2 linked regions of the Caenorhabditis elegans genome follow. The protein of the gene in region 1 purifies or fractionates together with the protein of each later gene. This does not show direct contact. Each region holds a gene or a part of one and is shown in the gene's direction. Other genes may lie near its edges. The genes, in order: C02F12.8 and Y54F10BM.3.

Region 1 (5,523 bases):
TTAAAATTGTGATGCAATTTTTATTAAAATTTTTTGATCTACTCGCGCTGCACTAAAAATATCCATGACCTCCCTTCTGTTTTTTTTTACAATTATTCTTGCGAAATTGGGGGTGCGAGTTCTTTTATGATTTTAGTTTACCTTTTCTGTGAAATTTCTGCTACATTTTTACATTTTTTAGCACCTGTCGTACATTGAAAGCATTTGATAAGTTCCAGGATGATTGCTAGATTATATTTCCACATAGATTTCTGTTTTCTTCTCTACATTCTGAAACTTACTGCGAACATGCTAGTTTTTGTTTACATTTTACTATCACATATGTATAATAATTGGACCTATGACCGTCATTACCATTTTCCGTAACGGCCTTGCGCCCACCGTAACGCTCTGTTTCGTGCGCAATCACACGAGAATCCGTGAACATTTGTCATATGTTCATTGAGTTAAAAGAGTCCCATTGTTAGTCTAGAGCGTCAAAAATTAACTGCGCTAGTGCCTCTGGATGCCGTGTCGTCGTGTGAGCGCATGTGTGTGCGTGTTTGTGTGTTTGTGTTTTGTTGACGTGGGGGTGCAGTTGGCTATATGTGAGCGTGTGTGTGCGTGTGTGTGAGTGTTCTATGAGTGTGCGCGCGAACGAATGTAGGGGGGTTTTGTGTGCTGCGTGCGTGGCATCCGCCGAGGGGCCCTTTGCCCTGTCCAACGAGTCCTCTTCCTCACCATATTACCCACCCAGTTATTGTTGTGGGTGACGATAAACACTAAGCACCACCACCTGCGTGCGCGTCTTTTCACTTTCATTTGTTCACCTCAGTTTTCAACTTCGTTCCTCCTAATTTTTTTTCAATCAGATAATAGGTTAGAAATTAAAATTATGCACTGACCAAAATAGAAAAGCACTGACCAAAATAGAAAAGCACTGACCAAAATAGAAAAGCACTGACCAAAGTCGAAAAGCACTGACCAAATTAGTAATTGCACTGACCAAATCAGAATGCACTAACCAAATTAGAAATTCCACTGACAGAAATTGAGTCAGGTTTCCTTTTTTTTATCCTTGGGCAAAACTAAAACTTTTTTAGCTCTACTCATTGAATTTCCAACCAAAATTTTGCATGCCAACCGTGCAATTTATACATTGTGCTATTTTTTTCAATGGTACTCTTATATTCCCATTTTTCCACAATTGTAGTTACAAGCAAAAATTAAATCTATAGCTATGATATGAATCTAGCTATCTAGATACCTAGACATTATTTTTCGAGAGCCCCAACGCGATGCATGATTCTTTCAAAGTTTGAATTTCTCATAAAATTCTATGTTTTGAACTAACCATGTTACTTGGAATGCAATCTAGCTTCAAGAATTTGTTTTGATTTTTCCCAACAATTACTAGCAAAGGAAATTCAAAAATTATATAATTTTGTGTAAAATGCTCACAATGTTTTTTTGCGGTAACAAGAGTAGGTTAAAAACAAACAAATAGCTATAACATTTCTCTTTTTTATTTTAATTCAGCAAATCTTTTGATCTAGTTTTGAAATGTGACACCGCCAGCTTCTATTCGTTATAATTTTACTCATAAAATAAATAGTAAAACTGAATGTTGTAAGCACTAAATTATATGTTTTTTTTATTCGGTTTTTCCTACAATTTAAATTTTCAATTATTAACAGGCTCTCAATATTGCACCTATCAGTTGTTTTAAACTCTGACAAATTTTCATGTTAACTTTGTTCAGAAGCTATGCAAAACGATAGATCTCGCTGGAAAACCGAAGGACACTCGAGTGAAGTACATGAGGACTTTCTCAGGAATAGTGTTCAAAGAAGAAATCAATTGGAGAAGGTACATAATGTTTAGAGCGTTTGTATATTCTTATATATAATAATTTTTTACAGATTCTCTTTTCCTACAATAATCTTCATCGTCTGGATCCAAGTTACGGGGAAATCGTTCAAAGAGCTTTTGAATCAAATGATCCTATTGCGCTGTGGAATTTTGAGAATGAGGTTCTGTTGAACTCAAAAGACGTTGATGATCTCATGCAGCAACAGTTCGCCGCTCCCGTCCAAAATAATCAGTGCCCAAATCCTTATCAAAATTGCGGATATCAGAACAATTTGGTGAGCACGTTGGATGCTTCATTTAAGGTTTGTTTTTCAATTTGAAAAGTTTGTTCATGAGATATTGAGAATTTCCAATCTCAGGCAATTTGAAAGCTTATTTCGTTGATAATTTTTTGAAATGGGAATACTAGATTGCAATAAAAATTAAGCGAACGGCGAAACTAAAAGCTGACAATTAAACTTTTAATGATTTTAGAAACTCGTTGATTTAATGGAAAAAATCGGTTTTTTTTTCAATCGAGAGGAGTAAACAAGTTTTAATTTTTAGAAATGTAGTTTTTCACTGTTTAAAAACCCCAAGGCCATAAGAATTTCTTTAAAACTTTGAAACAATTGCAATTTTCAGGTACACCCATTTGCTCAACATGGTAATTACATGCCACCTCCGGCACAGTTTGCATCAAATCCAAACGTCTTTCCGCAACCTGTTCCTCCATACACTATGGATTTGGCAGCGTCGAATTCAGGATTTGCACACCCACAGATTGTAAACCAGCCTATGCATCCACACGTGCCTGTTGGTTCCCAGAATTACAATCCTCCCCAATTTGTGCCAGCTCCACCAACCATGATGCCAGTCGGAGCTGTAATGGTTTCGCAAGGATCGTATTCAATGTCACCACCTCAAATTGATACTTCAAAGCCACCTTCTGGATATGGATTCTCGTCTCCCATCTTTCCATCACCGTCTTACAGTCAATATTCTGGTCCACCTGCCAACGAAGGATTCCCAGACATTATTTATGATAACAATGGAGTTGCATATTGTCGAGTTGTCAGCGCACCTGTATGCGTCGTTTCCATGTCACAATCGGGATCATCAGTATGCTCATCACAATCGTTTTCTTCCGGACAGGTAATAAACAATATTATCGACTACAACAAAAACAACTTAACTGCTGCTTGGGTATGCCAGAATTTGAAAATTTGAACATGACCGCTTTTAGGGAAGTTATATGAAAAATTTAAAAGTTGGGAGATTAACTGGTTTGCATCTAAAACCATTTTAGTAACCCGCTTCTTGTCTGACCATGAATATCAGACACACTCCTAAATTTATGACAACTATCATTAAATGTTCCTGAAAGTGATAATGATCAAATGTTTAAACTTGAACACACTCACGCAGCACTTGACTAATTTATAATGCTATATTACAAAATGGTTTTTTCAGAGCGACATATCTATGTCCAGCAGACCGCCCATCAATGGATCTAGTGTTGGAAATGGTTCGTTATCACCCATGACTGATAGTGTCAGGGAAGAATCGGAAGACGAAGATTATGGAACGTTGACGCCTGTTGGTCAGCAAGATTGCGACTTGGATTCAGTAGACACGGAAAGTGTTGCAAATGAGCCAGAACCTTATAGCAGTACAATGTCTGAAATGCCACCATTAGATGATGTTGATGATATAATGGAGAACCTTGATCTTTCGAAAACACTGATTGAGCCGGAAACTTTGGAACACTCGGATAACATGAGCGTAGTTGAAATCAAATCTGAACCTGTATCTGAAATGACGACTGACTCGTTGATTGTTGATGATGACAGGGATACGTCAATATCTGAAATCATTAAGTATCTGGATACGTCGGATGACGTTTTGGAATCATGGCAGGAGGCGACGGGCAGGAAGAAATGGTGATTTTTTGATATTACTGCTAAAATGATAAATTCTGTAATTTTCAGTTTTGTACCACAGAAAACACAAAAACTCGTCTACCCGCTGCCATTGTCAAAAGTCGAAAAACCATTGCAAAAATGTCAGCAGACTTTGGCCGCTTCCACCATTGACGAGGATAGCAAAGAAGCATCAACTATTGCTCTACCCGACGCCAGGAAAAAGTTGACAAAAAAAGAAAAGCGCCTTATGGCTGCACAGAAGGCAAATCAATTGGAAACTGATGACGATGTACTGGAAGCAGCATATCGAGAAAGACAGAAGCATGTGGAGCAAGCTGGTGGTGACTACTCAAGCTCAGGACAGAAAGACCAAAGTGAGATTCATCATCGCCATTTGGTACTAATATTTTCAATTTCAGAAAAGAAGCGAGGAAAAAGACCCGTCTCGAATCCACCGCCATCGTTGATCAGTCCCCAAATCCTGCATGCAGTTCAAATGGCAATTGCTAACAGAGCAAAGAAGATTTCAGAATCGGGTCGTCCAATTTTTCACGAAAATTTCTCATATCAAAAATTCTATGAAACGGTGGATACTTTTGTGAAAACTTGGGAAGAAAATTCGAATGAAATGAACAAAGTGTTACAGTTTATTGAAAAACGCATTTTGGCATTCAAAATGGTGAGTTTTAATGAATTTTGGTACTTTTAAGTGTCTCAAACTGACTATTTACAGGTTCAACGTCCGCAAAGTCTCTCGCGTATTACAATCTACGAGCAACTTCAGCTGAACTTGCCGCCAGCTATTCTTCCGGAACTATGCTTTTTGGCCGGTCTCACCAGCGATTCTACTGACAAATTAGAGTATTACGAAGAAATTTTCTTCAACCTTTTCTAGATTCCGTTATTGTTTGTACACATTGTACCCAGTGATCAGATGTTTTAACTGTGATTAACCATGACCATTCAGTTGTATTTTTCAGTCCATTTAATTACGTGTCATTGTCTTCAATTTTAATTTATTGACTTTATGGGTAAATCAATTTATGTATTGAGATTTTTAGAATAAAAATGTCTAGTCTTGTATTTCTTCATCTTTTCAGAGGCTCTAACCAGTTTCAAACTTCTACCAATTTTAAATTCAAGTTTAGAAAGGGTTGAATAACTCAAGAGACGCGTTTTTGACTTCACAAACAAATTAGGCAAACTGGACAGACGGACATTATTATTTTGTTGATTATTTATTATTACCTCAAACATTTAATTCCCAAAATCAAAATCAAAATCAAAAAATCAAAAGAGATCGTGCTTAAGTGAAACTAGATGAAGAAGTTAAATATAGCTATTTTTGTCTACGAAATATTTTTGAAATTGAAACATTTTATCCAATCTGTATGTTTTGAAATTAGGCTGACGAAATCTTTTGAAAAAAAAAAACGCTATCGAAGAGGATACAACTTTTGCTCATTTTTTCCTTATGGCTTACAACAAATTGAAAAATTAAAGCAATAAATCTAAATTGATAGCCCCCTTAATCTATTTTTCAATCAATCCGTACACATTTCGGCAGCGTTATGCTCACCGTCATCACATTCATCGGGTCTTGTCAACGTATCCTATGTGCACTGCTGTGTGCGTACTCATTATCTGATATAGCAGTCTCGATGTTTCTCCCCCTCCCGGGTGAGTGGCACAACGTCCATTCGTATATCCACCGCCGGTGTTGAGTAGTATCATGTCGACTACAAGGCGCAACAGTTGGCTCTTCTAT
Region 2 (5,293 bases), on another chromosome or scaffold:
TAAAAATTTTATAACTTTGTCAATTCTCAAGATTTTTGGCTCAAATTTGTTTTGAATAGTGCCCAAAATGTTTTCCTATACAATGTAATATTGTAGTTAACAAAAACCCGTAAAACTACAGTACCCCAATGCTTTTCGTGAGAAGACCCAAAAATTTTTTCGAAAAAATATTTGTTTTTCAAAACTTTATAACTTTGTCAATTTTCAAGATTTTTGACTCAAATTTATTTTTATTAAAGCTCTAAATATTTTTCTATGAAATCTGACAATAAAATTTAAAACAATTTATAAAACTACAGTACCACAACACTTTTCGTGGCGGGATCCAAAAATTTAACAAAAATTTTTTTTTGATTTTTTTTCAAAACTCCATAACTTTGTCAATTTTTAAGATTTTGAGCTCAAATTTATTTTGAATAGCGCTCTAAATGATTTTCTTTAAAATCTAGTACAGTAATTCATAGCAACTCATAAAACTACAGTACCAAAAGACTTTTTAAGGCGGGACCCAAAAAATTTTGAAAAAATTTTTTTTTCAATTTTTTCAAAACTCCATAACTTTGCCAATTTTCAAGATTCTGAGCCTAGATTAGTTTTAAATAGTACCCTCAATATTTTTCCATAAAATATAACATAGGAATTTACAAGAACCCGTAAAACTACAGTACCCCATAACTTTCCGTGTAGAGACCCAAAAAATTTTTGTTTTTTTTTTTGAAAAATTGGAAAAAAATTTTCAAAATTTTTTTTTTCAAACTTAAATTAATTTTACTGATTTTGTTGAAGTTTTTCGCTATATTAAAATTGATTTTAAAAAATCTGCACCCATTGCTTAGGTGCAAAATGTATCCCTCTACCCCTTTTCAGGTACACTAAGAATTCAGCGAATTCAGATTTGCCAAACATCAAAACAATGGAATTTTTCATTGTTTCTCACGTGTAGCAACTGATAAAAACTGATAAAAGATATCAAAATTGATCCTATGACGTCATCATGTCTTATGACGAATTCCACCCCCCGCTGACTGTGAGAAAAGTATTTAAAAACTTGATTTTTCAAGTTTTTCCCTAAAAACTTTTTACACTTTCTCTATGTAAAAGTTCAAAAAAACATGCGAAAAACTACAGTAACCTTATTATTTTTGATATTTTTTATTCAAATTTCTGAAATTCTGACTCTACCTATCAATTATGGTGCATCGTTGAACTCTGTACACTCGGATGACCTGAGTGCTGAGGATTATCAAGTTTTGAGGAAAAATGAGACAAAAATTGAGTAAGTTCATTGATTTTTTGCTAATAGAAAGGTTTTTGAAATTTTGGAAAAATTAAAAAAAAAATTTTTTTGAAAAAAACTTGTTTAAAAATAATAATTCCGCCAAATTATCGATTTTTTTGGTCGAAATCTCAAGTTTTAAATGTTTTCTTTAATTTTATTGAATTCAGCGTCATTGATTACCCCTATCCCAAAATTTTGGGCCTTCTAGCTCAATTTTCAAGAATTGGCTGAGTAGCGACCCATTGCGATACGGAGTTTGGTCAGTTTTAGTGCAAATGGCTAAAAATTTAGGATTCTGGGTTTCCAAGTATGGCAAATTTAATGATAATGTTAGTTTTTCAAAACTATGACTCCGTATCGCAGTTCTGAGTCGCTACTCAGCCAAATTTCAAAATTTTGAGATTTTGAGCTAGAGCTCTGAAAACCTATAGATAAGGGTAATCAATCACGCTGAATCCAAAAATAACTTCTAAAACCAAAAATTTTAATTTTTTCCAGAAGAATCCACAGAATTCAGCAATTTTTCAAAGCGGAGCACCACGAATCCACGTGGCGAGACTCGATTTGCAGTGCATTCCACTCGTTTTCACTGTTCCCGCCAAACTGCTTTGCGGCTCCGCCAAACGACAAATAAATCGATATTATTGATTTATGAAATGACATGATTTTTTTCTACGACGCACAATAAATTTTTGTGATTTTCTGATTTTTTTTGATTTTTTTTTGGGTCTCGTCACGAAAAGTTGTGGGGTACTGTAGTTTTTACCGGAATTTCTAAAATTTTTATTTTATCTTTTACGTGGGTAGTTTTCGCACATTTTAAGCCAAAAATGAACAAAATATCTCAAAAACTAAAAAAGTTACAAAATTTTTAAAAAATTGAATAAAAACGTAAAAACTCAAAAATTGCCAAAAAACATTCCACGTCGGGAACCACGTCGTTTGATTTTCGAAAGTCGATAAATCGATATTGAAAAATTTATTTCACAATATTCAAGATGAAATTGTGGTCGATTTTATTGGTGACCATATCGATTTTTGGCATCTGCCACGTGGAACCATATGAGCTAAGTAAGTACGGGGGTTTGACGCCAAGATACGGTTCGATTCTACAAAATTATCGGATTTTTCGGGAAATTATCGATTTTCTTGAGAAATTATCGATTTTCTGGCGGAAATATCGATTTTCTTGCTAAATTATCGATTTTCTTGCGAAATTATCGATTTTTTCGCGAAATTATCGATTTTTTCGGGAAATATTGATTTTCGGGAAATTATCGATTTTCTGGCGAAATTACCGATTTTTCGCGAAATATTGATTTTTTCGCGAAATATTGATTTTCGGGAAATTATCGATTTTTTCGCGAAATTATCGATTTTTCGCGGAATTATTGATTTTCTGGCGAAATTATCGATTTTCTTGCGAAAATATCGATTTTCTTGCGAAATTATCGATTTTTGGCGAAATTATTGATTTTCTTGCCAAATTATCGATTTTTCGCGAAATTATTGATTTTCTTGCGAAATTATCGATTTTCTCACGTGTCGAAAAGTTGCCCTTATTTTTTATTTCTGTCAAGAATGCAATTTCAGGATTTAATATAGGAAGAGGCAGATTTTCTTGCGAAATTATCGATTTTTTCGCGAAATTATCGATTTTTTTCCCGAAATTATTGATTTTCCAGGAAATTATCGATTTTTAAAAAATTATCGATTTTTAAAAAATTATCGATTTTTAAAAAATTATCGATTTTTAAAAAATTATCGATTTTTTGCGTAATTACTGATTTTCGATAAATTATCGATTTTTTCGCGAAATTATCGATTTTTGATATTTTCGATGAACACGTGGAGTTTGTTATTTATTTCTTTTTGAAAATGACGTGGAGAGGACGGTAAAAAAAAGCCACGTGGCCATTGCGATTGCGAAATTATCGATTTTTGATAATTTATCGATTATTCGCGAAATTATCGATTTTTCAACAAAAATTTATTGATTTTTTCCAGGTTTCGTCGATTGGCCTACACCCGCCCCGCCGACCTCAACAACTCCACCAGTGTAAGTCTATCCGTTGTCCCGTTAGTTTATCCCGATGACCGCTCTTTTTCAGATCCTCAACCAAACCACCACCTGCTGAACAGTTTAATTCGCTGACCGACATTCTCGACCTAATTCCAATCGAAGTGTAAGTTGTGAAAATTTGACATCGATAATTGCTCGGCGGCGAAAAATTGGTTTTTTTTTTTCGAAAAATCGATAATCTATGTTGATTTTATTGATTTTTTTGGTCGGATTTTTGAAGAAAAATCAATAATTTTTATTGATTTTTTGTTCAAAAAATCGATAACTTGCGTCATTTCTTTTATCGAAAATCAGTAATTTCGCAAAAAAATCGATAATTTCGCAAGAAAATCAATAATTTCGCAAGAAAATCGATAATTTCGCGAAAAAATCGATAATTTCGCAAGAAAATCGATAATTTCGCAAGAAAATCGATAATTTCGCAAGAAAATCGATAATTTTGCAAGAAAATCGATAATTTTGCAAGAAAATCGATAATTTCGCGAAAAAAATCGATAATTTCGCGAAATTATCGATTTTCTTGCGAAAAAATCAATAATTTCACGAAAAAGTCGATAATTTCGCGAAAAAAATCGATAATTTCGAAAGAAAATCGATAATTTCGCAAATTTTCTGTAATTTTTCAGCTGGCTTGTTGTACTTTTCCTGGAATCTGCGTTTGTTGGAGCATTTGGAGCATATTGCTACTGGAAAGTTCAACAATGGCGCGACGAGAAAATGGCAAGGGAAAAGGCTTGGGAAAGGCGTCTGGCACGAGTTTCTGAAGTTTCGGCTTCGAAAAATCGAAACGCTGGAGGTGTGGATCCTGCAAAAAGACCGAGAGAATCAGCCAAATGGCTGAAACATGTAAAGGAGGTGACGCTGAAACGGGGTGGAGTCGAGCTGCTGCCGATGGAGGATGTGATCGTGAAAAATAAAGAGGTAGAGATTTTTCCGAAAAAATTTGAAAATTTACGTGTCAAAAATCAAGGAAAAATCTTGAAAATGAACAAAGTTATGGGTTTTCGAAAAAAAAATTTTTTTTTGAAAATTTTTTTTGTAAAAAAATTTGTTTTTTCAGAAATTCAAAAAGCCACAAAATGAGCTTCGAGAAAATGAAGTGTGGGTGGAAAGACAAACGGGCCCTGATATTGATAAAGATTCGGACCCAAAGACGGAAAATGCATTGGATGAGCAGGATTATCAGCTGGAAGATGGATGGCACGGCAAGTCAGGTATGGTTTTAAAATCAGGTTTTAAGAAATTTTACTTTAAACATTGCAAGTTATTAAATTAAACATTAAACTCACAAAAAGATTGCGCTCATTTTAAGACTATATTCAATCGAATATCTTTAAAATTCGCAGAGTTATGTAGTTTTGAAAATAAAATTTGAAAATTTGAAATTTTTTTTTAAATTTTTATTTTCTTGAAAGCTCGAGCTAACTTTCAATTCAAAACCGATTTGGCGTGAATTTTCAGATTTAGCACGCCTAGAGCTTTCAAATAACACCCATCATGACTAGGTTTCGCCTGTTTTGGGTCCCCAAGTTTTCAAAGTGGACGGAGCTTAGTCAATATGGGTGTTAAATGGAAAGTCTTGACACGCTGAATTAAAAAATGAGCAAAAAATTGTAAAAATTTTTTATGTTTTCCAAAAATCTCAAAAAAAAATTTTTTTTTTTTTAATTTTTTTCTAAATTTTTAGACTTTTTTTGCACCAACTGAGAAATAATTAACAAATTCAAAATAATCACATTGAGACCTTTAAAATAAAACCCATCATGACTAGGTTCCGCACATTTTGGGTCCCGCCACGAAAATGCCGCCGGGAGTACTCTGGTTTTCGTGGTGGGACCCAAGAATTTGCAATTTTTAATCTGAAACGTTCAAATCGGTTTCGTAGAAAATTTTAAAAGTTTTTGAAACAAAAATTTTGAAAAAAAATTTTT

The links.
Region 2: the proteins of C02F12.8 (region 1) and Y54F10BM.3 fractionate together in Caenorhabditis elegans (co-fractionation; one large-scale study listed by BioGRID). This does not show direct contact.

The regions. Positions count from the first base shown.
Region 1 is NC_003284.9:3,689,457-3,694,979, reverse strand, and holds C02F12.8 (uncharacterized protein), read left to right. Parts: upstream 1-1,741; 5' UTR 1,742-1,746; coding exon 1,747-1,848; intron 1,849-1,901; coding exon 1,902-2,153; intron 2,154-2,475; coding exon 2,476-2,985; intron 2,986-3,303; coding exon 3,304-3,773; intron 3,774-3,821; coding exon 3,822-4,129; intron 4,130-4,174; coding exon 4,175-4,434; intron 4,435-4,488; coding exon 4,489-4,650; 3' UTR 4,651-4,837; downstream 4,838-5,523.
Region 2 is NC_003281.10:2,279,809-2,285,101, forward strand, and holds the start of Y54F10BM.3 (Tyrosine-protein phosphatase domain-containing protein), read left to right. Parts: upstream 1-2,216; 5' UTR 2,217-2,277; coding exon 2,278-2,350; intron 2,351-3,286; coding exon 3,287-3,338; intron 3,339-3,390; coding exon 3,391-3,465; intron 3,466-3,988; coding exon 3,989-4,283; intron 4,284-4,422; coding exon 4,423-4,576; intron 4,577-5,293. Other genes in the region: Y54F10BM.22 (Neuropeptide-Like Protein), read left to right, coding at 1,113-1,276, 1,778-1,913.